Alligator mississippiensis: one gene and its partners. The protein of the gene in region 1 binds, or shares a complex with, the protein of each later gene. Links are inferred from orthologs where the notes say so. Each region holds a gene or a part of one and is shown in the gene's direction. Other genes may lie near its edges. The genes, in order: MAP3K5, DCP1A, PAK1 and ARHGEF6.

Region 1 (7,498 bases):
TGTTAATGACCTAACTGATGATTCTGTTTTAAGTAATTGTTTTTCCTCGCTTGGGACCTGACCCAAAGCCCATTTTAAAAAAAGATTGGTTCAGGCCCAGGTATTGTTTCAAGATCTCCCAGTCATCTTGGTTTCCCATATCCATAATTTTTTATCTTTCTGCTTTTAATGGACCAGACTGGACTGTGCTTCTGCATACTCTTTCACTGCTTGTTAGAGGAGACATTACAATAGTTGAACTTCTTTTCATTCCAAAACATTTAGAGAAAATAATTTAAAGAGAGGTATGTCTACTGTACCTACCTTTATATAAGATGTTTAGTTTACAAATGTGGGAACTCATATGCGAAATACCATTTATTTAACTCTAAGCTGATTATTACTAGCTTACATAGATAAACCAAGTTCTTGAATTAATACATTCTGCCAAGACATAGAAATGGTGGATTTATGCGCCATAGCCTTATATAACCTTAGACATAATATGTCATTCTTAATTAGAACAGTTCTCTTTGGAGATGCAGAGAATTTAGGACCCCATTTTGGACTATTTATTGAAGGAATTCAAAAATTCTATTATGCCAATATTTGAGTTCTAATCCTTTCAAGATGACACTTTAAAAGTGAGTCCAGGTGTTTGGTCCAGAGCATGAAAATGTCATCTATTTAGTGCAAATATAGTACTGGTTTGGTGTTGCAATTTTGTGAAAACTCCTTTTCCAGGTAGCTTATGATACTGGGGAGCCATCCTTGTGCCCATGTCTGCACCCATGGTTTCGAGGAAGTGTTGGTTATTTCAGGTGAAGTTGGTATGAGTAAGGGTGCAATGGATGATTTGCACAATATGTTGCGGTTGCAGATCTAAGTCTGGTCCGTTTTCCTGAAGGTATTTTAGGCAGGCAACTGTGCTTTCATGGTGTAGGGTGTCACCTTTAGCATTTTTCTTCCTGAAACAGTCAATTTAGTAGTCCAATGTGTGGTCCTGTTGGCTGGGAGGTGTCCAGTCAGATGTTTTGTTGTTGGTTTTGTTAATCTATTGAGGCAGAAGAGTTGTCAGAAATAGTTCTGTCTTGGTTGTAAAGGTATTCTTTTGTGTGAAGTCTGCAAAAAATTCTTCTAATTCTCCACATATTAATATCTTGGAGCTATTTTCTGGAGAGATAGCATGCTTATTTTTTAAATCTTTCTTTAGCAAGAAAAACAAAAAATAAAATTAAAAATGAATATATAATATTAACAGCACAAGTCTTTGTATTATAGTAGTATTTACTGCCTGATCAGAAATCAAGGCTCCTTTATGTTAGTGCCAAAAAAAATCCCACACACAAAGAGAGAACTGCTGACATGACAATTTTACCGTCTTAGTAGTCAAGAAGAGTTTTGCTACTGATTTAAATCAGTGCAGAAGCAACCCCAAGCTTGGGCAAGTTGATTACATGCAAATTATCTGTACTGACTATATTAATTTTAAGGCATTTAGGGAACAAGATAATGAGTTTATTTTTCCATGAACAGTTATTTTTGGAGAAAGAAAAAGAACACATGAACTATTGTATACAGCAAGTTATGTATATTTTTTCTATAGTGAAATAAAATAATCCTCTATATTGCCTAATATAGGCCCCAATCTAGAAGGGCACCTCAGTACATAATTAATAGTATTGAAGTTACCTCAAGAAAGTAACAGGGTGGAAGGCAGGAACCTCCCTTATAAAGTATATATCCTAATTGTATGCACTGTATATATTGAATAATTTGTAATTGCTTCAATTAACTTAGGGCTTGATCCCACTAGCACTGTAGGGATGCAGCCAGATACCTGGAGCAAAACAAAAGGGGTGACTTCTGGTTTGTGAATGTGCAAGTGCCAGCAGCAGCTACTTTTTGTTTGCTCTCCCCCCAATTTGGCACTGGAGGCAGTTGCACCTATTGCCTCTTCTACCCCATAGTTATACCACTGGATCCCACTTCCAAAGTCAGTAGAAAAAATCCTTAGAGCCCAATCCAAATTCCATTAACCTCATACAATATTAATACTGAAGTCTGCACTGCCCTGTGGGTAAAAAAAACACATGTATTTTCCTCCTCCTCAAAGGCAATTATTTCCTTTAACATCTGATGAATATGTACTGTTCTTGAGCACAACACCACACAAGCATGTTGTTTTGGTTTCTTGAAATGTGACATATCTGCAGTGGTGGGTGGATTTGCATGACAGCTATGATTCTGCATGACAGCTTTGTATTTTGTGCTTTTGTGCTCCTTTAAAAACAAGTCAGTACGTATCATTTTTGACCATCACACAAACTAAAAATCTGTTGTATGCTGTAGATTAGATGACAATTAATTTTCCTGTGGTTGTTCTACACTTGTTTATCACATACAAAATTGAAGGCCAATTATAAATTAAGTGTGAATAAGTCAGGTGTGATTTTGATGGTTCTTGGAGGAAGTACCGGTTGTTTCAAGTGAAGTTGTTATGGGTGAGGATGAAATGGATGATTTGTGCAGTGTGTTGTGGTTGCTGAGGGTAGTTTGAAGGTATTTTAGGCAGGCATCTGTACATTCCTGGTGTACTTCTACAGGTTTACTTCTAACTAGAACAATAAAGTATTTGTACTTAGGGTAAGCAATGAAAGCAGATTCATCAGCTTCATTTCAGTTAGGGTGAGTTTCAGGTCTTGGCTCCCTTGCATGTGTGTGTTGCAATGTTTGGGGCTGCCAACATGGCACAGGAATGCCTGCCTGACCTCCAAGCACAAAGACATTTTTCAAAGGGGCAGGTTGCAACCTGATGATGCTGAATCCTAGCTATTTCGTTAGAAATGTTATTGGCCACAGAGCCCTACATGCCAGGCCTAAACACAGCTGTCCCTTGCAAGTGAGTCTCTGCAAAGTATTCAACAGCGTGTGCTGCTCTCTGGAAAATAAGTCTCCTTGTTCCTCACATCTGAGGGCTCTTGACAGAGGATGAGCTGTACCTGCAGCTCATGGGTGAGAGAGCTATATGCCTGAAGTACAAACAAGGGGCAAGGTTGTTTCAAGGTTGCCCAGGGCTGCCAGGAGGCTCGCCAGGGTGCTGCTTGAACCAGCAAGGTTATCTACAAACAAGGGGCAAGGTTATCTCAGGGTAATATCTTTTATTGGACAGACTGTGTAGCTGAGATCAAGTTAGACAAGGTTTAGACAAGGTGTGTTGTGGCATGTAAGACACTCCTCCTCAGGTCTCAGGGAGAGGAAGAATAGCTCAGGGAACTCTGAGGAAGAATGTCTTAGGTTGGAAACCATGTCCAACTTTATCCCACCTACGCAGCTGGGCCAATAACAGATATCACCCTACAAAATCCTTGCCTCTTGCATAATTTCTGGATCATTATGGCTACAACATTGCTCTGACACTGAAGTACACATATGCCTCTCTCCTTCCCCTTCCCCACTAACAGCTGGAGATGGGTGCTGGTCTCCAGGTAGTACCTGTGCCCCGCAGCAAGGAGGGATTGCCAGGATCTCTAGGAAGGCAGACCCTTTTCCTCAGTGCTGGCAGATGACAGAACAAGGAGCAACGGTCTGAAGCTGAAGCAAGGGAAGTTTAGGTTAGATATTAGGAAGAATTTTCTCGCTTGGAGGGTAGCAAAACACTGGAGCAGGTTATCCAGAGAGGTTGTGGACTCTCCATTCTTGGAGGTTTTAAAGACAGGGCTAGACAAAGCCTTGGCTGGGATGATCTAGTTTGGGGAGGGTCCTGCTTTAAGCAGGAGGTCGGACTAAATCAGTGGTTCTTAACCCTTTTTGTACCAGGACCCTTTTATAAACGTCCACGACCAGTCCCGACCTAGCTAGCGCCCCTCACTCCCAACCTGCTGCCCCCAGGCCCCCAGTATGTGGGGGGGAGGGGGGACGTGGGGCATGTGGAGCCCTAAGCAGCCCCTCACAGTCGAGGACTCTGCCAGCCTGCAAGGGAAAAGCCTCAGTTCCCCATGTTTTTCTCCTTTAAAGCAGGGCTGGACAATGCATGGGCAAAACTCGCGGGGGCCTGAAAACGGTAATTAAAAAAATTATTATTATTATTATCATCTCTGGCAAAGGGGGGCCCGATGCTCAGGGCTGTCCCTAGAGGGGTGAACTGGGGTGATTTGCCCGGGGCCCCGCACGCTGCTCGGGTCGGCTCTGCCGATACTACAAGTTTGCCCAGGGCTGCCAGGAGGCTCGCCAGGGCACTGCTTGAACCGAGAATCCGTTTCGCAAGTTTGTTTGCGACACTTCCATGTATTCTTGCCACCCACTTTTGGGTCACGACCCACGCGTTGAGACACACGGGACTAGACGACCTCCCGAGGGCCCTGCCAATCCCATCTTCTATGGCAGTCAGGGGCAGGGGGAGTCAAAGGAGGGGGCAGAAGCAGGGGCCAAGGCACCAGAGACGAGAGGCGGCAAAGAAGGGCCGAGCGGGAAGGCGGCCCCGCGCAGCCGGGGCGGAGCTGGGGCGGGGCGGTCCTGCTGAGCCGCGAGCAGGCAGCGGCGCCGCGGGCTGCGGCGGGGACTGACAGCCGGGGCCAGCCCGGGACATGGCACGGGCACGGGCCTGAGCCCGGCGCCATGAGCGACAGCAGCGAAGGGGGCCTCAGCTTCGCCGTGCCCAGCCCCCCGGCCGGCGCGGAGGCGGGCGGCGGGGGCAGCCGCGAGGCCGGCGGGCGGCGCACGGCCGTGGTTTATGTGATCAACGAGGGCGGCGGGCCGGCGGAGAGCGGCGCCCTGCAGAGCCTGCGGGAGGCGTGCGAGGCGGTGGGCGCCGCCCTGGACGCGCTGCACTTCGCCAAGCTGGACTTCGGCGAGACGGCAGTGCTGGACCGCTTCTACAGCGCCGGTGAGTCCGCCCGCCGGCCCGCCCGGGCACGTGGCGCCCCCGACCCTGGCCGTGGCCCCGCGTCGGGGCGCCCTCCCCCGCCTCCAAGCACCTCCTCTCCCCGGCGGCTGATTTTTCATAGCTTGCATAGACATTCGGGCTGGAAGGGACCCAATAATCTCACAAGGTCCCTTCCAGCCTTCAACTTCTGTGAATCTGTGCCCCCAAGAGCCTGCTGGGGATGCTGCCACAGGTAGCAGCTTGCGGACAGGGTTGCTACGCCAAGAAATACTTGTCAGCAAACTCTCTTTACTGACAACCAAACATTGTTTACTTTAATTGGCATTTGCCTCCTCAGTGTGAACCCAGCCTTCGTCCAGGGCTTGGTGGAGGGGTTGCATTGACATTGTGTAAAACAGTGGTCACCAACCAGTGAATCTCAATCCACCGGGAGATCTCGGAGCCTCTTGGAGTCGATCTGAGGCTGGGATTGGGGGCTGAGTGCCACACCATGTTAGCACTGTCAGATGTGCAAATGTCATTCTCAGGCTAAGCCTGGAGATTTCAGGCAGGAAGCCACAGTGCTGAAGACATCCTGCCCTGTTGTGGTCTTTCTGAGTTCTTTGCAACAGAAGAACTGATCTGTTTGTTTTCCACAGTCAAAAAAAAAAAAAAAGGAGTGAAAACTAAGACCTGGCATTTTCTGAGGGGTGCCTTGAGTCTAGAAAGGTTACAAACCACTGCTGTATTATCTTACCATAGCCAAAAAATGAGTGAAAGCAAAGAGCCTGCATTTTCCAAGGGGTGCCTCGAGTCCAACAAGGGGTGCTTTGAATCTAGAAAGGTTGGGAGCCACTGGACTAAACAGAGCTCTGTCTGGGTTGTAAATTAGCTGGCAGGAAAATCCCTCCGCCCCCCCCCCCCCCTTTCCTCCCATTCAGCTGCATTCTTAGTGGCAAAACTGAAGCTATTTGACTTGCAGGCAGTGCCTATGCCGGGCACTCTGGTATGGTTAGTCTGGCTCCATTGACAAAAAGACCTGCCGTATTCAAGTAAAGCAAAGCAGGGTTATGGGGGGAGTAGCAGCAGTTTATCAGATTCTTAAGGAATCTACTCTGTTACTGAAAATAGACAGCATCTGAAATCAAGCATATCCTGGATGGGTGGTATGCCATTTATACAGCTTGCTCCCTTTTCCTCTCTGTTCCTTTGACACTGTGGAAGTCCCACCACATTGGCTGGAGTAGAGTGTATGACCTCCTGATCTTACAGCTGTTAGAAGTGCTGTGCTATTACATCCTAATAGGAAGGCAAAGAGGTTCCATTTTTTGGATTTTTGTGTACAGATGAAGGGACTCTGCAGGACTCAGAGTCTGCCACGCTGGAGTGGGTGAAATGTTAGATCTTCTGATCAGTATCTCGGCTTATAGAAATATCTGTGAACATCTGCCATTGTGGCTGCCTGTGGCACGTTCAGTTTCCTCTCAGCTTCATGCCTCTAAGATAAATTGCCTTGGTCAGGGCTTAAATTACAGATAATATTAGGATAAGCTTCAGTAGCTTAGAGAAGTGTTTCTTGCACATGGAGATCAGACCTGATGGTGGGCCCCTCCAGTTCTGGCAGTCAGAACTTTGGCACATAACACTGCATAACTGAAAGCTTATGCAATGCAACATTACTTCAGTGGCTTTTCAGCAAGTTGTGGAAATGTAAAAATCTAGCATTTTCTAAACACTATCTATGTGGATTTAACCCCAAGTATTACAAAATTAGGCAAACTATCTTGTCATTCTGCTTCTGTAAAATAGCAAGATTCATCAAAGTACAAGGCTAAAATAAGAGAAACTTACAGCCCTATGGCTAATTGGAAGAACATATAGGGAGCAGACACTGCTTGTGCTGTAGAAGCCAAGTGCTACTCGCATGGCTGTGCAATTTTAGCCTAGTGTGATTAAAATAGTGCATATTTCAGCACAGCCCTACTATTTAGTAGTACCTGTCTAGGAGTAAATGAGAGATGACTGGGAGAGTCCACAAGCAGAGTCCTAGGTAGTGGCCTGCTGAGAAGTACCTTTTACCCCTTGGACAACATCCAGACTTTTTGGAGTGTCTTCTTGGACATAAGGCCAAATGTTTGAAGGTCTAGTTGTTGGCCCTACTGCACTTAGTTTTTTCCAAATAGCATGCAACTCACAAGGTTAGTGACAGTTCTTCACAGTAATGTGTGGCAAAACTATGAGCAACAGCAGAGGGATGAGTACAGTCTTATCTGCATTCAGAAAGACAAAATAGCAGTATTCTCATTTGTATTGTATCTTTGCAAATCATGAAGGTGATTTAAAGAAAACAAAATCCAAAAAACAAGAATTTTAAATTCTGCAGACATGTATGGCTTGGATCCCCTCCCTGCTTCCCTGTGTAGCAAACAGATTTTTTGAAGACCTCACTTCCTACTGTAAAATCAGCTGAAGGAAAAAGAAGCATTAGAGAAGTGAAAGATGGCAGTTTAAGTCTCTGACATATCATATTAGTTTATATGCAGTTTTGATCTTTTTCTTTTATGATATTCTTTGGTACTCCAAATGCATTTGTTAAACGGAAATGAAAGAGTTGTCCCTGGTTGCAGCCTAATCTTTGTTCTTGTTTGTAATGGT
Region 2 (7,549 bases), on another chromosome or scaffold:
AGAAGAAAGATAGGCCATATTGAGAAAGAGATCCACTGCAAGCAAAACATCCGGGAGTGGTAGGACTTGTGACCATTATTTCAGATAGAAAAGTGGAGAACATTCACTACCTGTCATTCAAATTTGTCTCTGCGATTGCTGGTTCCATTTTACTTGCCACTATCTAGTCCAGGGGCAGGCAAAATGTGACCCAGAGGCCAGATGCAGCCCACCAGGCCATTCTATCCAGTCCGTGGGGCCCCTAAAAAATTTAGAAAATTAATATTAATCTGCCCTGGGCTGCTTGTCATGCGGCCCTCGATGGCTTGCCGAAACTCAGTAAGCGGCCCTCTGCCCAAAATAATTGCCCACCCCTGATCTAGCCCCATTTACTTTTCATATCCTACATAGAGCAGTGAGGCTTTTAAGCATGACATGAGATTTTACTGGGTGTGCTCAGTTAGTTTCTCTAACATCTTAACAAAAACACTGAATTCTTTGCTGCTGCTACTCAGTCAGCCAGGGGAAATATTAAAGGGCATCTATACAAGTGCTCTGGGGTGGGGGGAAAGGTGCTTTAATTAGAGCGTCTCTGAGATCCGCTCTAATTAAAGTGCCTTCAGCATCTGTGTATTCAATGCTCACGCTTCAAAATGGCAGCAAAGACAATTTAACTAAAGCTTGTTCAACGAGATTTAAAGTGCCCCTGCCATAACTTTGAAATACAGGGACGCTGACTACACCTGACGCGGAGGCTGCTGGAGCGTGCTAATTAGCACGCTCCAGCAGACTCGCAACAGACTCAATTAATGGAGTCTGCTCCAATATGTGCTAATTAACATGCATCGGAGCAGAGCTTCATCACATGTATAGGTGCCCAAAACGACTACAAACTGAAGAATGTTCTTCCTACCTGAACTCTGAAGTGGAGTTGCCAGACAAGCAAAAAACTTTGGAAGCTATTTAAATAATCTGTTCTGGAAAAGGTAGTGACAAGGGTGGGGGCAGGTAGAAGTAAAACTACATAGAATGAGCTCCAGATAGGTAAGTAGGCAAACAATGGAGAAAGCCTCCCCTGACAACAGCAAGCCATTGATGGAAGAGATGAATCACTACCACTTGGCCTGTTTTAATGTTAATGTATGTAGAGTACATACAATGTAGCACTCAGTGTTCTTCTGTACTATAAAACCACTACTGAATAACTGAAATGCAGAATGTAACTCACTTAATTTGTTGAAGCACAAATGAAGTCTGTCTAACTTAAACTGAAAATATCAAAAGGTCATTGTAAACACTGTACCACTTCAACAGGAGTGTCTTACTGCACGAACCAGAAGTATACGAGAAGCGAACATTTTCCCTACACTAACTGCTTCAAAATGCAAGAGAAAACAAAAGGCATTTGCAATACACATCAGTCACTGAGCAAGCCTAGCACAAGAAAACTAACATTTCATTCACGCAAATGTCAAAGTTTGAGGCTACCCGCATGCTGTATACTTCAGGGGTCAGGAGGCATATGGGAGGCCATACCATTTATTTCTGAAATAATGAATCAGCAGCAGTGAACAAGGAAAACAAACTCTCTGACAGTGGAACTGGAATTAGAGGATGGAGGAGGAAAAGAAGTCATTAACAGAAACTGGCACTTGGTTTTGTTATCTCTTCACATTTTGCTTTCAATTCAAAATGCAGCAAAGGAACTTTCACATTTGACAAGATCTGACACAGCAGAAACCTGCCCCTTTTCAAGATCAGTTCATTACATTTATCTAAAAGATACATTTGTTTTAGAGGTTTATTTGAGCCTGTTGTGAAAAACAAGAGCCTGTTTAGTGCAGCTATTAGAAACACTGTTTAGATGCAAAATCTAAAAGGATTTTGGAATGGTGTTTCTCTTTCTTTCAGTCTCAAATAAAAGACTTATTAACTTCCTTTTAAAATACAAAGGAGAGTCAATTATCCAAACTAATTGGACCCAAACATTGTTCATAAAATCCAGTTGTTTGGCTAATGAAACACACTAAATGAACACACACCAGTGCCATTCTCTGAAGCAAGCCTGGCATCAGAATTGCCTTTTCCAGTTTGTGGATTATTTCAGTTTTTCCTGTCATTAAAACAGTTCTCTTTCTATTCAATGCCATTATTCTCACTTGTACCATGCACCAGAGGTTGGCAGCACAGCATGCAGTTAGATAAACAGTGTGTGGATAATTCACGTTCTACTGTAATTTTTCAAATATTTTTGCTTTTTCATACTTGCATTTCTCATTCAACATTTTATCTCATCATAGGTACCACTGGATGGACATGGGAAGCTCCTATTGAAGTTACTGCACTTAGACCTACACTGTGCCAGCTAATAAAAAGGATGAAGAAAGAATACTGTGGTTCTTGGATGGATGAGCCTGTTCTTGTCATGCTGCCTGTCCCTTCAACAAGCCACTGACTTTCACTTACCCTTTTTGAGAAATATAAGACTCCTGGAGCATCTGGAGAGAGAAGTTTCTTGTTCAGGTAGGCAAACACTACAGAAAAGGACCTGGGAGTTACAGCCAACAGTGTGCCCTTGTTGCCAAGAAGGCTAATGCCATACTGGGCTGCATTGGTAGGTGTTGCCAGCAAACCAAGGGAAGTGATTCTTCCCCTCTATCCAACACTGGTGAGGCCACATCTGGAGTTTACTGTGTCCGGTTTTGGGCCCCCCATTACAGAAAGAGTACAGACAAATTGGAGAGAGTCTAGTGGAGGGCAACAAGAAGGGTGAGGGGGCTGGGGTACATGACTTATGAGAAGAGACTGAGGGAACTGGGCTTATTTTGTTTAGAGAAGAGAAGATTGGGCACATCTACATGTGCATTAATGTGCCATAGGTAAGGCACATTAAGTGTAGTACCTGTAATAACAGGTACTAACTGAATACACAGTAACTGGTGCTACTGCGCTGTAGTGCCAGTGCACACCTTTTTAGTGATGCTAATGCACAGTACACTAATTCTGTCAGGGGGTGTACCGCCAATCTCAGGGGACGCACCGCCAATCTCAGGGGACACACGTGTACCCCCTACGTGTCACCAATGAGTGGAGACCAACTACTGGTAAACATTTTCCTATGAACCAGTGGTATTCATCTGGCACAATTTTACTGAAGGTAAATCAGGTGAGGCTCCAGTTTTGTGTCTGCTAGAGGCACTGTCTACATATGGCAAATATTAATTAAAACAATAGCGTATTTTAGTACAAATAGTTACAACAGCTTTTATTTCAACACGGTTCAGTGAGACGGATGATTTTATCCATGGTAGCATGAGAAGGAAAGACTGACAGGATGACCTGCACATCTCTTCAGTAGAACAAGCTCCAGGGAAGAGTCTGAGGGCAGAATAAAGAGGACTTCACCTGCTGTGCCCTCATTCTGTCCATTCACTTTGCTGTTGACATGGCCCTGGGGCACCTACCTGCTGCCTCCTTCACCCTCACATCTCCATATTGGCTGTGCACCAGTTGGAAAGCAATTAACCTTGAAGAGGAAAACCCCTCCTTGCTGGAGCCACAACAGATCCTGCTGGACAGACAAAAGTGTCACTGCAGGGAAACCCAACAGAGTCTGTAGTGCTGCTGGTACTACGAGAGATTTTTGGTGGAGCTGGAATCTGAGAGAAAGCTCCATCTGTTAGTATATTTTTTCTAATATTCAATATTGTAAAAAAAAAAAAGTGTCCAAAATGTTCAATACCCACCCAGATAGACCAAGTCCTATTAAACAACTATATTTGATCTAATGTAATACAAGCTGTGTAATAGGGAAGTCCACTCGGCAATGACTTTAGCAGCAATAATCAGTTATGTGACCAGAAAGGTAGATTGTGTTCAATACCCAGGTGGTGTAAGTGGGACAGAGGTAGCTTGTCGCTCATGGGCAGCATCTCAGCTCATAACAGTAATAAGGATAAGATGCCAACGCATACGAGGATCCTGGGGGAAAGTAAAGAAACGAACCGGAGTTAGGCTATTGCTAACGGAAAACATGAATCAACTTTTACCTTCAGAAAGCAAAACATGAACGAATTGGGATTTTACTGCACAGGAGCAGACTCCTGTACTGTCGAACAGACCCCAGACCACGTCTCAAAATCCCTCGCTTTGCAAGCACTTACTAGTTTGCGAGCTTCTTTTAAAAAAGGCAGAAAAAAGAGAGATTTACTGAACTCCGATTTTATGAGAGGAGAAAATGAAAGCGGCGAGGGGACAACTGAATACCACCTGGCGAATACCTGGTGCGGTGCTGCGACAACCTGGGGAGATGCTACACGGGTTGTTTAAATCCGTAGTGGCGCAGGGCTCCCCTTCCTCGTCCCTTAGGAACGAGCTCGGCCCTTGGCCAAGGAGGTGGCAGGAGCCCTTTGCCCTCGCATCTCCGGGCTCCTCCTCGCTGCCCACCAGATCCTGCTCACGAAGAAGCACCGCGTTCAACACGACTGAGTCCCGGTGTGGACATGTTCACCCCCCGGGCCGGGCTCTAATTCCCGCGGGACAGGCCCCGGGCTGGCCGTGAAGCAGCCCGAGGGGCCGGGCGGAACGAAGCTGGGCGGAACGGAAGGCGCGGGGCGCGCGCGCGGCGGACGGCTGCGCGGTGGCTCCGCGCTCAGGTCTCGCCGCCGCCCGCGGCTCCTCCCGCGATCCAAGATGGAGGCGCTGAGCCGAGCGGGGCAGGAGATGAGCCTGGCGGCCTTAAAGCAGCACGACCCCTACATCACCAGCATCGCCGACGTCACGGGCCAGGTCGCGCTCTACAGCTTCAGCCCCAAGGCCAACGAGTGGGTACGTGCGGGCCCGGGGCCGCGTCGTGCCCGTCCTGCGCGGGGCCCTGCGCCAGCAGCCTGGGGCTCCGGCGGCTCCCCCGGGCCCACGAGGCGGGGACCTTCGTCTCGAGGGAAACAGCCTTTTCCTCGAGTGCCGGCGCCGCCTGCCCGTGCAGCGGCCGCTGCTGACAGCCGCGGGGCTGGTGGCCGGGGGAAGGCGTTGGAGACGCGTGTCTCCGCGGGGGCAGGCGCTCCCCCCAGGAAGGTGGAGAGGAGAAACTCTCGGTGCCCTCTGCGTTTCCCGAGCAGAAATGAGCGATGTGAGCTGGCGCTCAGAGTTTCTGCTGAAGTTACAGAGGTTCACAGTTAGAGGCTGGAGCTGGCGGGCTTGTGCCTCTTCCTTTCCAGACCCCCACCCGCCCCTGCCCACCTCCGCTGAAGCAAGTGTAGCTTCATACACACGAGTGCTCAGTTAGGAACAGGCTCTTGTGAAAGCCCTTCTTTTGCGGGGGGGGGGGGGGCCACAGTGAGGTTTTCTTTTAATTAACTTTTAGTGTTTAAAGCAGGGGTCAGCAGCGTTTTTGGGCAAAGTGCCCCAAACACCTGTAACCTCGGTTGGTGAGATGTTGGTGTGCCAGGGAGGGAGAGTGTGGGCGCCGCCCGGGGCCCAGTCCTTGTTGTGGCTGTGCACACCTGGCCCCTTTGCCCACAAGCACGCGTGCCAAGCAAAATGCCTTCACGTGCTACACTCTGGCACGCATTGGGGGTTTCCTATCCCTGGTTTAAAGCAAAGTCGTGATGAATGAGTAGAACGAGATATCTGTGAATGACTAGGAGAGAACAAACGGTATGCTGACTTGACAGCAGTTATGTGCGAATTGTCATTTAGGTCTTCTTACAAGACAGTGTGTATTCTTCTGGTTGTTTGTGGAGTTAAATGTATCCTTGTCTGCCCTAAAATGGGATTTCCAAGGAAAACTCTGAATTTTTCCTTTGCCCGTTTGGTTTGCACACGAGGGAATTGCAGGATACTACTTATTACTAACAAGGGAATAATATTGTTCATGCAGGCCAAATGATGTATATAACCACATGTTGCCTAATAGTTTTAGGCAGATATGTGAAATGCAAGAGAATTATACTCTGTCCCTTTTGAGAAGGTGGAATCAGTTTATCATGATTTTAGTCAGCAAGCTGCGTAACTCTGTAAGCAGACATATAGTTGAAATAAATCATTGCTGTCTGTTGTAGGAGAAGACTGACATAGAAGGTACCTTGTTCGTATACAGAAGGTAAGGTATTTTATGTAAAAATATATTTTTTTGTATATAACTGTTTTGTTGATCTTCAGTCATGTTTAACTTTCCAGCTATACTGGTTTCTGTTGTCCAGAAAAAAATAATCTCCAGCTAATTCTTTTTCAAAAAAGAAATGTAGCACCTAAGCACAATTCCTACAAAAAGAACAGAAGATTTTTCAGGAGCAGTCTTGACACACAATTACATAGAAGTGGAAAATTTTAATTGGGCTATTTTGGTAGTGCATGATCATTCACTAACTAGTATATTCTTCTGTGCCGTAAGTGACTCAATTGATGAGGCTTTCTCCCCTTCTTGTAGTTCAGAAATTCCAGATGATAAACGTTAGCATAATTTATATAATTTTTAAGTCCATACAATTTAAAAGCCGCTAGTTTATGTATGAACAGTTTTGGGTGTTTTTGATGAGGTTATTGAGTGACCTTGAGCAACATGGCCAAATACTTCTTTTTAGTAAGAGTTAATGTAAATATAACCAATGATTTAGACCTACCCCAAAAGCAAATCAGTAAGTTTGCAGCCTTTCATTGTTCCATTGTATGTAAGAAATGGGAATGAATCCACCCTTCCTGAGAGACAGCCACCATTTAGTATTTTATTTGATAATCACGTGGTCAAGTGGTTTATATACTTAGTTTTCATGGACTTCACTTGCATCCCAATACTATGAGCACTCAAGCAAATTGAATAATTTTTTACTACTGGTTGCAGGTCTAAATATTTTATTTGAAGCTATTCATGATAGTAAAATAAGTACTGTGTATATTTAAATCTTGAGATTAGCATGTTTGGCCCTCTCAGGAAAGTTTGCATTTCACTTTCTTAAACTTTAACAGGATGTGGCCATGGTGCTGTTGAAAGGTTAACCTTTCAAACAGTTAATCACATCTGATAAGAATAGAGTAGATTTACGCTTGATTCCCAACCTGCCTCCCTCTCCTCCCCCCCCCCCCCCGAATGCCCCATAACATGACAAAAAAAAAAGAGCCGTCCTAGTGCTACAGTGTTACTTGTACAGTACGTTTTAACGGCATGGCTAAGCATGCTTATAGTGTTCATGTGATTAAGAATTTTAAGGGGACAAAGATACAGCCTTTGTCTTGAGATTGATTGATTGGTTTTGTTTTCAAATTTGAGTCCAGAGCAAATCTTACACAGAATATCTTTTATACTATTTGTTAAAGCAGTTTTTCTTTAGGTTTTTTTTGTTTTTTTTGTTTTGTTTTTTTTTAAGGAACTATACTCGGGGTTAGGGGAAAAGTAATTCAGAAGGAAGAACTCTCCCTTTACAGGTCTGCTCTGAACTCTTATTCTAGATTTTAATGGAACTGTACCTGTTTAAGGTAGGGGTAAATTTGACTTGAAAACATTGGGCCTTTTGATGTGACATTCTGCAACAGGGGCCAGAGCCCACCAAGTAGAGGTATAAGCCCCCCCTTGATG
Region 3 (7,045 bases), about 350 Mb from region 1:
ATCAAAGACAGATAATGTTTGACTAGATTCAGAAAACAGAGGGTTTTCTGAGTCCTACAAGGGGACTCAAATGATTGCTATATCTGTTATAATCTCTTAATAATAGCAAGAATAGAATAGAATAATAGTCTATAAATTTGGAAGTACTTTGACGTGGTCTCTCAGAGGCAACTAAGAAAAGGGGGGAAATGACTTTGTGCCCCTTTTATTTCCTTAGCCATGATCTACTAGCACTGGCAAGAATTGCACAGGTTGAAATAAATCCGTTTCTAGGTTGAGTGAGGGTTGCTCTTCCCACAGTTGTTAGAAACTGATATAATTAAGTAGGACAGCCTCCTAGTTTGGATGCAGCTATTCTCCGAAGCTATACAGGCACAAGCATCTTTTACCGGAATGACTGCTTCTGTACTAAGGCAGTGTTCAAGTGGTACAAGAACTAAGTATAGATCTTGCCTTCGCTAAATTGTCGCCACCATGCAGCACAGATGCTCTCTACATCAATTTGGAGCAGTTCATGTTGAATTGACTTGCTTGGTAAACTGTCTCATTAGAACCGAGTTATCTGTCTCAGGCACTTCACAAGAAAACGGGGAAGGAGAAAAGAAATCTGTCTTTGGCGTTGAGGTCACTCACATTCCTGCCAAAGCAACAGGGATCTTATATGAAACCTTGCTGAGTTAGGACACTGAATTTAGTGTCCTAAATTCAGCATTTAGGCAAAGCATTTGCAGGAAGCCATTCTGCTGAGGTGGCTCATTCCCTTTTCCTGGGGGCATGAGGTGCTTCCAGTTTTCCCAGCTCTTTCGACATTTAAGGTCAGGGTATATAATACCATGCCCAGTCCTTACCAATGCCTGCCTAAATACCAAGATGTAAAATGCTGTTGCCACTTCCTCTTGATAAAAATGTCATAGCACCATTGCTCCTTGCATAGTTCCCAATTCAAGAATAGACATGTGTGTATTTGTGGGAAATTGGGTTGCCAGATTTGTCTGTTATCCCTGCAGGAGTCAGGAGGTGAAAGAAGCAAGGACAGCCATTGGGAGAAGAGAATTGTGAAAATGCACAAGAGAAAGGTCAGAAAAGTTTTTTAAAAATCAGGACATGTCACAGATGTTGTCTGATGCATCATTTTAATGACAAATTTAGCCCTACCTTAGTTCCAGAAATATTTTTCAAGTACTAGGACTCTCATACATTTTCCCCCAAAGTACTTCTGCTTTAGAGGAAGTGTAGGAAGAAGTTATTCCTAGTGTATGCAATTCTTCCTTTTGCATTTGGCTTCAGACAAATCAGCTAGGACATATCTACACTGAGTTTCTCCATCAAACCTCTCAGTCCTGTGGTATTTATCACCAGTGCTGCTCCATTAGCAGCCGCTGTGGCCTCTCCCATCATGATAGCGTACGGGGCAGCCGTACACTCCTCCCCTCCCCATACTTACTGGCAGAGGGACCCCAGCAGCTTTGCTACTTGTTCCTGATCAGCTAGGTGGCAAAACCATGAGAAAAATATGCACTCTTTTATATGTGATGATGCACCTGACCATTTGCACCCCTTTATTGACAGGATTTGCCCATGGGAACAGGGCCCTGGAATAAGGTGCCAGTCACACTGCTACTTCTCAGACCAGAACCACCCTTGAATCTCTGCCTCCCTGTCTAAGGGCAGATGGTCACTGGGTTCAAACAAGGTGGGAAAGAACAATCAATTCTGGAAAGTGCTAATTTTTTGCCCTCAGACTCCCTCTAGCCCAGTTCAGACATGAGGCCCCCTCCATAGGCTCGAAGCACCCCTTGGAAAATGTCAGCTCTTAGCTGTCACTTGTTTTTCAGCTACAGAAAAATATTAGCGCAACCCTTGCCTTGCAAAGAACTCAGAGGGCATGCAGCAGGCCAGAAAGGTTTTCACACTAGAGATCCCCATTTGAAATCTCTGGGTTTATCTTGTGAATCGTGCCTGCACCACTACATAAGAACTGCCATCTAGTTGCCCCGTGTCCTGTGTCACACAGGGGCAGACAGCGGATGCTGAAAGGGAGAGCAAACCGGGGCTGAACACTGGTCCTCTCTCACTTGCAGCCTCCAGCATTTCAGATCTAGGACAGGGGTGTTCCACCTCTGGCCGGCAGGCCAAGTTTGACCCATGGAGCCTGGTATCCAGCCCACAGGGCTCCCCACAGGTTGGGGGATCTGGCGGCAAGGGAGTGGTGACAATTAATATGGCTGCTCCTCCCCTCTGCCAGATTCCCAGACCCTAAGCCCTGTGTGGCAAATTGGGGCTGGAACACACCCTCTTCCCCCTTCCTAGGCTGGATCAAGTCCAGGCCATGCGCTCTCTCCTGCTGCCCCTGAGCGGCCAGCTCAAGCCCCCTTTGCTCCTCTGGGGAGCCAGCTGCCCCTTCACATGGAGAGATAGGGCCCCACTGCAACACCACCAGATCTGGCCCACGGAGGCTCCCATCTAGCCTACTGAACAAAAAACATTGAGCACCGCTGGTCTAGGAAGTTCGGGGTCAGAGGCTGTGCCCCTAACTCCCATGCTCAATAGCTGCCGATGCCCCTTTCCTCCGAGAACGTGTCCAATCCCTTTTTGAACCTGGCCAAACTGTCGGCTTCCCCTGCATCCGGCAGCAATGAGTTGCCCACCTTCGTGACACTGGGTGAAAAAGAACTTCCTTGTGCTAGTTTTAAATTAACTACTCACCTTATGTGGTGACCCCTGGTTCTAGTATTGCAAGAGAGTCAACAGTGAACGCATCCTTATTTACTTCCTCTTTGCTGTTTGGAATTTGGTAAACCCTCCTCACGTCCCCGCTCCAACGTCTCTTTTCTGAATGCACCAGGCCTGGCTTCTTCATACCATCGAGTATCCTTATTGTTCTCCTTTTCTTTTTTAATCTTGTGTCTCGGGCCAAAGCAGCCAAATCAGTTGAGCAGAGCTCAATTGTTCAAGTCTGTGCAGTGCTACCACAGGCAAGTCTCCTTCCTCCCAGACTTTTCAGCCCCTGGGGCTTCAGATGCTCCCAAATCCATGGTAGGTGTCCTACGTACAAGCCCCAAGCCTTGGCATTCAGATGCCCCTTGATGTGCTCGCCCCTAGCTAAAAGGCCAAAGGAGCAAGCTAGAGGGAAAGCCCAAGAGCAATCCCCTTCACCATAAATTATGTCGCTGAGATCTTCCCATTGGGAGGGCTTAGCAGACTCTTGCAGGGGAGCCTACCCCAGTGCAATGGGTGGGTCTCCACTCTCAACAGCGCCAAGTTGCTCAAGGCCAGGAAGAAGGGGATCTCCCCTGCCAGGTACATATGGGCCAGGACTATCAGCACGGTATCTCCACTGCCAGGCAAGCTTGCTCTCCTCCGAGCTCACAGCTGGGCTGCCGCAGGCTCCTGCCTATGCTTTGCCCATGCAGCGAGCTGAGCTGTCCGTGCTCCCCATCTGTTTGGTGCAAGCTCTGTCCAGCGCCAACACCTCACCCCAGCTCTTCCACCCCTTCCCTTGCAGCCTCCAGCAGGGGTAGGCAGCCCCCAGCACGGGTGCCAGGCTGCAAGGCATTTTGCTTGGCACGCTCATCTCAGGGCAGACGGCAGGGAAGGGTCTGGGGGCTGCCCTGCTACAACATCGGCTCCCTGCCCTGGCACGCCGACATCTTATAGGCATTTTCAGCCAAACAAACATCACCACCCCTGAGCCAAGCAAACTCTGCCCCAAACCCCCTCGCTCGTCCCTGTCCTCCAAGCCCGAGTCCAGGCTAAAGGGGAAGCTGGGGGGCAACAAGCGGCTCATGCCCAGGCGGCAAAGAGCTGCCCACGTTGGAGTGGGCTGGTGGTCCTTGGCATGCTGCGGTGCCTGGTGGGAGAAGCAGTGAGCATCCCTTGGGGTCACTCAGCCCCTTGCCCTGTCCCTCCTGTCCCGGGGAAGCCCCAGCCCGTGTGCGGAGGAGCGGCAGGGCGCCGGGGAGGTCGCAGCCCGGCTCCTTCGCCCGGGGCTGCGGGGAGGAGCTCGCACCCCGCGGCCCGGAGGCGGAGCGGGAGGCGGGCACGGCTCGCCCAGGGGCTGGAGCCGGAGCCGGAGCCGGAGCCTGCAAGCAGCCGCGGCCGGGCAGCACCTTGCAGCGGCGGCAGCAGCAGGAGGTGAGTGCCGGTCCCCTTCCCCGCATGCAGCCCCGGGGCTCGGGAGGAGCTGAAGTTTGGGAGCCGCCTCCTCCGGCTCTCCCCGCGCAGCCCCGATGCTCCCGCAGCATCCGCCTGCGCGGCGCCGGGCGCTCCCCCGCCCCTGCGGCCGCGACCCGCACCTCTGCCCCGGCTCGCACGTTCCTTAGCTGCAGAATTGCTCTCGCGCGGCTCCGCGGTCAACGAAAAAAGCAAAAGCAGCGAGCCAAAAAAAAAGCTCTGGGGTCGCACCAGGAGCTGAAAAGCGTAGCAGCCCAGCCCGTGCCCGTGGCAGTGCCAGCTGGCCCCATCCGCTGACTGTGCAAATGGTGGTTTTTGCATCCTTCATCCCACCCTGCCACCTGGGGCTGGTACCCCAGTGCTGCTGAGAGCCGCTGCCTTGTCTCAGCTGAGGCAAGCGGGCTTCCCCAAGTGCCAGACCGAAGAGGTAGGTCCTACAGGTGTAATAAGGCGGAATGGGTGTGTTTTAGCCATGGCTGAACAGTGAGAGAAGAGCGGGTGTTGTGGGGAGAGGCGTGCGTCTGGTTTTCAGCAAGTCAGAGCACAAGAGGAAGAAAGTCTTGTCCTTTTCCCTGGGACTCAAAAGGTTGCATATTAGCATTCGCCTCTGTCCCATCCTTTGCGTGTGCCTTTACTCTGAATGTCTTTTTTATGCTTTGGGAGCTTTGTGATGTATTAGATCTCAGCCCGCAAGGTAAAGCAGATCCGTGGTGACTTTGGGAGCTGAGGCCACTCATTCTTACCTTTCATGGCTGGGCTCGGAAAGAGGCTTTGGGCTCATCTTAGCCTGGGTCCCCTGAGAGGACTTTGTTATAATCCTCTCTTCGCTTGGTGCCGGTTCTTTGTAGGAGTAGGAATGATTTTCCTGCAGAGGAGGGAGCTGGAAACCAGGAGAATCGTAACGCTGCCGTTCCAGCATCGATTACTTTTGCTTTTTACTGAGACAGAACTTCGCCTTCTGTCCACACAAGGCGAGAAATGCTGAAGTTCAGGGATGGAGGGTGACAGCGAGGTGGATAATTGGCACGTTTGAACCCCGTGGGGAGACCAGAGATTGCAAGTGGGATGCTAAAACTACCTCTCCTATAAATGACTTTGAAATCAACCCCAAAAATAAGTTTGAGGAAGAAACCAATCTTGCTGAATGAGGACGGTAGCCAGCTTGCTGACCAGCTGAAATACCTTCTTGGTGAATATTGTGTGTGACGTTACATTGCAAGAGGGGAAAATGTAGCAAGAGAGAAAATGTGAACCGAAAGACTTGAATTTCCCACACCACGAGGGGCCTGAACATTTTTCCTTGCAATTAATTGACTGCATTAGATGAACATGCATTTTGGCATGTTTACTTTTATCTGTTTTAAATGCAGTCCAACCATGTGACCCAAAGGGTCACGATATTAACCATTCCTCCTATTTACTTGATATCATATGGTGTATTTTTTGTTCCTGGTGACCACACCACAGCTGATAACAGCCCCTCAACTGGGCATCCGCCAGGCTCCTGTGTTTGGGTCTCATTGGGCCTTGTCCCAGAAAACTCAGTCTAAACTGAGCGTGTCCAGGAAGGACATGAGAAGGAGAAATGGTCTCAAGTTTAGTCACAGAGGTTTGTGGTTCATGTAGGACTGTAAGTTCCTTTATTTTTAAATGTTATCTCATTTTTTTTCTGGGGGTGGGAACGTGCATGTTGCAGAAGTTGTTTGGATGAAATGCTTTCTTTTGGGAGGCACTGTGGTGTCCCACATGGTTTTGCAGGCCTGTTACAATATGCTCACGATAATCATCCAGGTTTTGGACTGATTGTGTGATCTGGAGCTCCAAATGTTTTGGTTTTGGTTATTGAAGCTATCCAGCTCCTTTTTGATCTTTCCATCTAATCTGGCATGCAGGTTAAACAATAACCTTCTTGGATGGTTTCTTTTCTCATACAGCCTGTGCTCTTTGGACCTGACGTACCACTCCCTCGCTCTGCTTCTGGGCTGATGTAACACTGAAATCAAGGGTGTTAGACGGGTGGGAGAGTGGAATAAACAGTGATGAATTAGGCCTGGTGGTTTTGGTTTTAAAAGCTAACACAACTGTCTCCTCCTGTCTGCCAGTGCTGTGTGTCTTGTGTCTACCTAGAAAAAAAATAAACCAGGTCAAAAGGAGGCAACAGTGTAAATTCACCCAGTTTTATTTCTTAATCTGAAGTTATTAACAGTAAACACTTGCAACCTGCCCTGGGAGGAGAGGTGTGGTTTGGACTAGCAGCTGTGCAGAACAATATGTAGTTGGGTTCCCTGAGTACAAAGGTTAAAAGGACCAGAGAGGATGGGAGAAAGGTGTATTTTTTTTAAACAGATGGGAAACCTGAGTTGTAGAGAGGAAGTGACTTCCTTGAATTTACACAGTAGGTTGGTTGGTTGCAGAGCTGGGAGTCTTTTGAGTTCCAGTTCAGTGCCTTAAGTGCAAGACCAGTTTCTCCAGTTACGTGGATGAATCACTGCTGAGAAATCAGTGTAGTTGACATAAAAAACAAATCCCCCAAAGGCTATAGCAAAGACTTCATTGAGCTGTTCTTTCTGTTGCTGGTGGCATTGCTGACCTTTCTTTAAAAAAAAAAAAGAAGCTAGATTGGGGAAAAATGCAAAAATCTAGAACTCTTGGTTCGGAGATGATACCTTTTATTACACGAAGTGAGAAAATGCAAAGAAAATGATCTTTTTTCTGCAAGCTTTTGGGCTCACACGCCCTTCATCAGGCTCAGGGCAAGTTAAAGATGGGAAAAGGTCTCCAGGTTGTAGCCGGCCTGGTCTAGAGGGAAAAGGAACCAGAACTCAAGGTGGAGGTGATTTCTTTTGCAAAAATCTCTAATAAGATCTGATAA
Region 4 (6,842 bases), on another chromosome or scaffold:
GTCGCACCTTAGAAGCTCATAAGTCCTCTGAGAGGCTTGTCCTACTGAGTGCTCAACAGGTGTTGGCTTCTGGTTCTAGAGCTGCTGCTGTTAAAAACTATAATACCTAAAAGCACAAGGGTGCATACCCTTTGGGAGCAAAAAGCACAGTAAGCAATTAAATGAGGCTTCTTCTGTTAAAGGAAGATCACGCAGTGAAAAGGGAGTCTCCTGCTGTGCCTACCCCAGTTGGGGTGCCTTTGAAGTGCTGGACAGCTGTTCTCCAGCCTCTTCCTGTTGTGCTCATTCAGAGCTGGAGGCTGGCTTGGCTTGCTCTTCCTCCACCCAACCTGATTTCCTTCTATGATAAGGTGACGTTTTGTGGGTGGGAGAGCCCTCGACTTTATTTAGCAAGACTTTTTAATGACACTTTTGTTAATTAAAGAAATATGGACTAGTTGAAAGTACTGTAAGATGGATACATAACTGGTTGGATTATGATATTCAGTGAGCAGTCATCAACAGCTCTGGCGGGGAGGAGGTTATCAAGAGGGGTTCATCTGGTATTAACACCCTTAACAATTTGGATAATGGGATTGGATACACCTTTCCCAAATTTGCAAGCAACCCCAAGTTAGGTGGAGTTGCAAATCGTTTGGAGCACAGAGCTAGGATTCAGAAGGACCTGGATACATTGGAGGAACGAATCAATCAAATGAAATTGAGCAAAAAGTGCCAAATCCTGCACTTGTGCATGCAATTATTTCACACCAAGTACAGACGGGAATGGCTAGCTGGACTGTAGCACTGTAGAGAAGGACCTGGGGGTTACAGTGGACACTAAGATGAATGTGAGCAATTTGTGTGCCCTTGTTGCAAAAAAACCCAACAGCATTCTGGGTTATATTAACAGGAGAGTCACTTGCAAATCAAGGGAAGTGATCCTTCTGCTGCACTCAGTGCTGAGGAGGCCTTACCTGGGGTACTGTGCCCAATTTTGAGACCCATGCAAGATGTGAGCAGACTGGAAAGAGTCCAGCAGACTGTGCCAAAAATGATTAGGGGCTTGGGAAACATGAGGGAAGGCTGAAAAAATGAGGGTTATTTAGTCTGGAGAATTTAATAGCAATCTTCAGGTACCTGAAGAGCGATTTTACAGAGGGTAGAGACAGACTGTTCTCTGGCTGTAGGGGACAGGACCAGGAGCAATGGCCTTAAGCTGCAGCAGAGGACATTCAGGTTGGAGATTAGGAAGAACCTGGTGACCCTGCATTGAAACAGGCCAGCCAGAGAGGCCGTGACATCTTCATCCCTGAACATTTTCAAAAGCAGGTTAGACAAACGCTTGACTGGGATGGTTTCGCCAAGGATGACCCTGTCCTGAGCAGGGGGCTGGACTAGATGACCCGTCTAGCCTTACTTTCCTATGATCATAACAGGCCTGTTGCAGATGGGGGACGTGTTGGGGGAAACCTCGGCCCTTCCTGAAAAATGTAAAAGCGGGCGCAGCTTTGTCACTGCAGGATGGGAACCTTGAGTTTCTTAGTGGTGCTTCCTAGTCCTGGCTTTGGGCAGCACCTAAATAGCAGGGGGAAGTTGAGAACACTTTAGCTAATGACAGAGAAGGGAAATAGCCCAGTGCATCTGCTTGATGTCATCTGTATGTAAATGCCTGTTTAAACCCTTGAGCTGTAAGCATCCCCGTCTGACGATCAGCTTCTGCGTTCTCGCGGCCAACCCAGGAGGTACAGTACAACTTCCACGCATAAAACTGCTCATGTAACTGCCTCCACATTTTTGTGTAGGGTCCTCCGTTATTTTTCAGCCATGTCTGAATAGTTCCCCAGAGGTGATGATGTGAAAATACCCGTCTCCAGCTATAGGCCTACAGCTCCTAATCTGTAACCTAAAGCTATTTTTACAGAGGCCTGCTTCCTGAAGAGCAGGGTTACATACAACGTGGAGGGTCGAGTTACTGATTGGAAGGAGCCGAGTTCCCGGGCCCAACTATCTTGTGCAACTTTGCTGGCTCCTAGCCCCACTGCCCCAGATGTCTTATCAATCATCCGGAAGTCTGAGCTTGCTGCTGCAAGTAATTTAGGGTTTCAGCTCTGCCAAGATGGGTCAGTTTTGAACAGATTAGAAGAAAGGCCAGCTGCCTGCTTCTAAATTAGTGTCTTGGGTGATAACAGCTGCAGTTACACTGTTGGGCTCTTTGTACAGGCTAGGACAGAAATGACACACAAACCAGTATACGTGATTGGAAACCAATTCAGATGTGCAACAAACAGAAATTCAGTGCGTGTAAACCACTTTCAAAACGGCCAAAACCGGTTTAAGATGAACCCGGATGGGTGTAGCATCCGACTGAACTGATTTTGGTTAAACCGGTTCATTTAAATTCTGTCCCAGAACCAAATTAATTTACAGTCCCCCAGCATCCCAGGATGCTTTGCATCTCCCCCTCAACCCCCCACCTTGCAGGGTAGGCAGACTAGCCTTGGCCTGGCATCTGCTCCAGCCAAGCAGGAAGGCGTGCTCTAGCACCCCCCAGCTTCTGGCCTGGGCCAGTGCAGGCATGTGGGTGCAGTTCAGGAATCAAAAGTGCATGTCTGTTCACTTACTTATCAGTCCAGTCTATGCAGCTTAGACTAACCTGCAGCGGCTGCATCGATTCAGCCTCGGGCTTTCTAACTGTCTGCACTTGGCTTATAAGTGAGTGATTACACCGTACATCGTCATCCAGAACTGAGTGCAGTATCTCACACCCGTATGTCTTTATGGTTCATATAGCGGTGTCCTGAAGAGCTAGGTGAAACCTCTTGAACACCTGTCATGAGGCAGTTTTGTCTTATTAACTGTTGTACAATTTTTCCACAAAACATTTTTTTCCCCTTTATTCATGGTCAAATTTGAAAAAAATGATACAGGATCTGGAAAGGAAAAATCTTACAATGCGACTAAACTGATATCTATATAGCGAGAGATTATTTTGAAAATGAAAGTTTTAGTATTAAACTATATTAGAAATCTTTTTGTTACATTTTCAAAGTTGAAAAAGTAAAACAGTTTCAAGGATTTTTCCTTTTTCTGGTTTTTCTCCCTCTCAAGTGCCAGCAATAGCTCTGGTTGGTCGCAGACCTAAGCACGTGTCTAATTCTGTTCTGCTGCATTGGTATCAACTTGTGAGACTAGTCCCAGGGGTCGTTACATGCATCAGAGCTGCTCGCTTGCACGCTTTAGTAGGGTTGTGCTTCTCGAGCAGGGTGCTGCAGCACCTGGCGTGCCATGCGATCCTTTGGAGGGTGCCAGGGGATGCTGGACAATATTAGCACAGTTCGACACATCAAACATCCCTGCGTGATATACAAGATAAGCTCAGAGACTTCAAATAAGAATCCAGAGGGTCAAAAACCTGTCCTGTCACGGTCTTTCTGAGTTCTTTGCAGTGGCAGAATTGCCGTATTATTTTTCAATTAGTTAAAAAACAAGTGAAATTAGTTTCTGACATGGGGTGTTGCTAAATTCAGAGAAGGATATTGGAGAAATTAAGAACCACTGACTTAGATAATACATTGATGGGTGTGGTTGAAATACGTAAATAGAGCAAGATCGAACCTTTAGGCCTTGCCATGCTGCAAATGTGTAACGCAGAGATCTACTTTCGGTATATTTAAGCAAACTCACCAAGTACAAGAAACTATAAGACGCAGCATGTTTCTTTAACTGGGGTTAATCTGGTATGGAAGCCATGAAGTCAGTGGGTTTCCATGCAAAATAAAAAAAAAGTGTCAAGCCTTAGCTCTGCAAGCCCCAGAAGAGGCAGGAAGAGGCAATCACGGATGTGGGTTAGATTAGACCTCACTGCTGCACAAAAGATCGGCACTGGAGGCAGAATTGTCAGCAATGAACCCAGAAGAGCAAGCGGTGACATGGCTTATTTCCTTAGGAGTTTTGAATTCCCCCAAAAAGATCATCAGTGATCCAGAGGGATTCCTGAAAACTTCCCTGAAAGACGGGGTCGTGCTGTGCAAGTTGAGTAATCGGCTTCTTCCGGGATCTGTGGAAAAGGTAACCGACCTCGCTCATATAACCCCTTGCTCACTTCCTACTACAGCAGCGGCGCAGCGCAGCTGCAGGACCCGTCTTGGTGGACCCGGAGTGGTCTACTTTAGCAGGAGGTGCCGTGCATTTTGGCTTTTACTTTTCTGGGGTTGAAGGCCTGTTTCAGAGGGACTCGGGTATTTTATCTTGTGACCCAATGATCGTCTTTGATTGGCTGATAAGTTATTCTGTTGGGCAAAATCAGGCAACAATATTGTGCGTGTGACTTGCAGTTACGCTCGAGTCGGTTGCCTTATGTGGGCTCTTCCATTTTTAAAGTGGAAACGTTTAATCTACCAGAAGTCCATTTTAGCTTGATCGATCTTCCTAAAAAACTCCATTTATTACATCTGACGGTGCTAATATTGTCCAGCATCCCTTGGCACCCTCCAAAGGATCTTATGGCAGTCCGGGGTGCTGCAGCACCCTGCTCGAGAAGCACAATGTAAATAATGCAGACGATGAATACTTGAGCTTTAAATACAACTAGGTAAATACAGCTGTGCAACTACGTAAAGAAGCACAGTGGTGTTGTTTTCCTGTACCCCACCAGGTAAAAAACCAGACTCGAACAGAAATAAAAGCACTTGTCATCCCCGCCATTTTCAGCCAATTCAGTACATTGAGTTAATCCGTCTCAAATGTCTTGTTAATCAGTACATCCATTTCCTGGGTACATAAACAGGCAGTCTAAATCGGCAACAAATAATTGCAAGGGGGAAAAGAGGAAGGATCCCGATCAGAGCTAAAGAAATGGCCACGCAGAAAAAAGGCTGTTTAGTAAAAGGCTCAAAAACAATATGTTCCTTCCTCCTTACAAAACGGGAACTTTTTATTTCGAAAGCGGCCCTTGTGTTGGCTGATGTGCCCCTCTGATGGCATGCGTGGTGCTTTGGGGCAGCGTGCTCTGAAAGGTCATGAGCTTCTCGCTGTCACTTAGGGCACTGTCATATGTTGACATTCAAAAACAAGATGCCGACCATTTAGATTTATGCATCACTTCCTCCAGTGGCTCTTTCTTCCTGGTTCGACAGCTTGCCTGCCACCCCCATCCTCCCCCTAAATAAGCTTCCCTAATTCGGCGTAGATCACACACATGTCAAACATCCAGCATGCAGACCGCGCTGAAGGTACTACAGTAACCGTGGGGGGTTTTGCTTCTTTAGTATTGTCTGGAGCCCAAAAATGAAGAGGATTGCATCGGAAACATTCAGGAGTTCTTGAAAAGCTGTGCAGTCCTGCAAGTAGAGGTAAGTCATTCTATTAGTCTCCATTATATTTTTTTTTTCCCCACTCTACTAATTGTGTGATTTGTAATTATTCCTAAATGAGGCCAGGTGCCAGGAAACTGAAGTTACTGTCAATCTCTTACGTTAGCAACGTGCATAAAAGCCTGGATCATTTAATATTCTGGACAGGGACTCTGCACAAGGTTTTAGCGATGGGATATATAATGCCTCGGAGTTGAACATACTGCCCTTCAAGCCTCTGACACGAAGCAAAACGCTGAAGTAGGAACGTATAATAATATAACGACAGTCTTCCTAATGCATGCTAGTAAGCTGGTTGGACCGACCGGTGAATCATTTTTTTCAGTGTTGGGAGAGAGGTCACCCCGTTTTCAGCCCCGTGTTAACTAGTTGCATCGGATGATAACAGTCGGAGTGTTGTAGGTTGATACCGTGTCTTCCCTTGCAAAGGATCGTTTCACAAAGGGTGAGCCCAGTAGGGCAACTTTCTACATTTGCGTCTCTCACACATACTCTTACACAGAGCCCGAGTCCTGCCAAAGGACATAAGGAAGGGAGGAGGGACAGAAGAAAGAGGTCTTTGTATACCCCCAAGCCTTCCTGTCACCGAGCGAGGCCAGTCCCTGTGCCCAAACGCAGGCACACTGTGTGTTAGCGTGTGCTCTTACACAACAAGCTGCCGCAGGGTATGAAAATGAGTCAGGAGCTGTTCTGCGTGTGCTCGCTCCTGCTGCGCGGCCTCCCTCAAGTTAGTGTAAAATGCCATTAATGAAGAAAAGCCCTGTTGTGTTTCACATCGGCAACGTCCCACGGAAAGCAGCCGTCGTTTTTCAAAATCGTCACTGACTTCCTAATGGTTTGGTGGGGGGAAAAAATGCAATGCTCAATTCCTGTGCAGGCAATAACCGTCCACAGTTGTTACCGGGAACGAATCGTGGACTCCAGGGGGAAAGGAGAAGACCCAGCCGGTGCTGCTGCTTTTCACCTGAAGCTTTACATTGTGTAAGGAGAGTTGTTTGCTTGTCAAAGCCCTTACTCAGCTGACGAGCAGGCAGCTCTGTTATTTCCAAAACTGTCTCCTCAACCTGTTGTTTCCCAGCAATCTGGTGCCGGAAACCTGCTGCCGGCTGCAACAGCTTAGTTTTCAGAGCAAATATATTTGCTCGTTGAAGCCAAAAGAAACCTGATCGGGGCATGGAGGCAGCGTTTGCCAGTTCTGATTTTTTTTTTTATCCTGATTCTTGGTGACGGTCGATATTTTCTTTGAAATCCCCAGCTGCTGGAGTCGTGTGATGACCGGGGTGTTTCAGCTCTCATTTAAAAAAAATACAAATCAGAGTTTTAGCATGTGGGAGAAAAAAGCTCGAATAACATATGAATGCTGCAGGCTCAAAAGCATCCATCAAGCAAGGGGAAAGAACCCAGAAGGTGTTGTTTGGCTGAAAAATCATGAGGTTTTTGAAAGCAACTCGTGATCTTGAGAGGGTTTGGTAACACTGAAATCCAACC

What was found.
Region 2: MAP3K5 (region 1) and DCP1A share a complex: the UniProt entries of both Homo sapiens proteins name them as parts of the cytoplasmic complex. The link is inferred for Alligator mississippiensis from reciprocal best matches to the Homo sapiens genes MAP3K5 and DCP1A.
Region 3: MAP3K5 (region 1) and PAK1 share a complex: the UniProt entries of both Homo sapiens proteins name them as parts of the cytoplasmic complex. The link is inferred for Alligator mississippiensis from reciprocal best matches to the Homo sapiens genes MAP3K5 and PAK1.
Region 4: MAP3K5 (region 1) and ARHGEF6 share a complex: the UniProt entries of both Homo sapiens proteins name them as parts of the cytoplasmic complex. The link is inferred for Alligator mississippiensis from reciprocal best matches to the Homo sapiens genes MAP3K5 and ARHGEF6.

What each region holds. Positions count from the first base shown.
Region 1 is NC_081824.1:118,877,679-118,885,176, reverse strand, and holds the start of MAP3K5 (mitogen-activated protein kinase kinase kinase 5), read left to right. Parts: upstream 1-4,497; 5' UTR 4,498-4,596; coding exon 4,597-4,864; intron 4,865-7,498. UniProt on the Homo sapiens protein: Serine/threonine kinase which acts as an essential component of the MAP kinase signal transduction pathway. Plays an important role in the cascades of cellular responses evoked by changes in the environment.
Region 2 is NC_081835.1:25,101,111-25,108,659, forward strand, and holds the start of DCP1A (mRNA-decapping enzyme 1A), read left to right. Parts: upstream 1-4,545; 5' UTR 4,546-4,671; coding exon 4,672-4,806; intron 4,807-6,038; coding exon 6,039-6,079; intron 6,080-7,549. UniProt on the Homo sapiens protein: Necessary for the degradation of mRNAs, both in normal mRNA turnover and in nonsense-mediated mRNA decay. Removes the 7-methyl guanine cap structure from mRNA molecules, yielding a 5'-phosphorylated mRNA fragment and 7m-GDP.
Region 3 is NC_081824.1:471,028,179-471,035,223, reverse strand, and holds the start of PAK1 (serine/threonine-protein kinase PAK 1), read left to right. Parts: upstream 1-4,030; 5' UTR 4,031-4,134; intron 4,135-4,320; exon of another isoform or gene 4,321-4,600; intron 4,601-7,045. UniProt on the Homo sapiens protein: Protein kinase involved in intracellular signaling pathways downstream of integrins and receptor-type kinases that plays an important role in cytoskeleton dynamics, in cell adhesion, migration, proliferation, apoptosis, mitosis, and in vesicle-mediated transport processes.
Region 4 is NC_081831.1:79,759,813-79,766,654, forward strand, and holds the start of ARHGEF6 (rho guanine nucleotide exchange factor 6), read left to right. Parts: upstream 1-3,820; 5' UTR 3,821-3,885; coding exon 3,886-4,050; intron 4,051-5,249; coding exon 5,250-5,333; intron 5,334-6,842. UniProt on the Homo sapiens protein: Acts as a RAC1 guanine nucleotide exchange factor (GEF).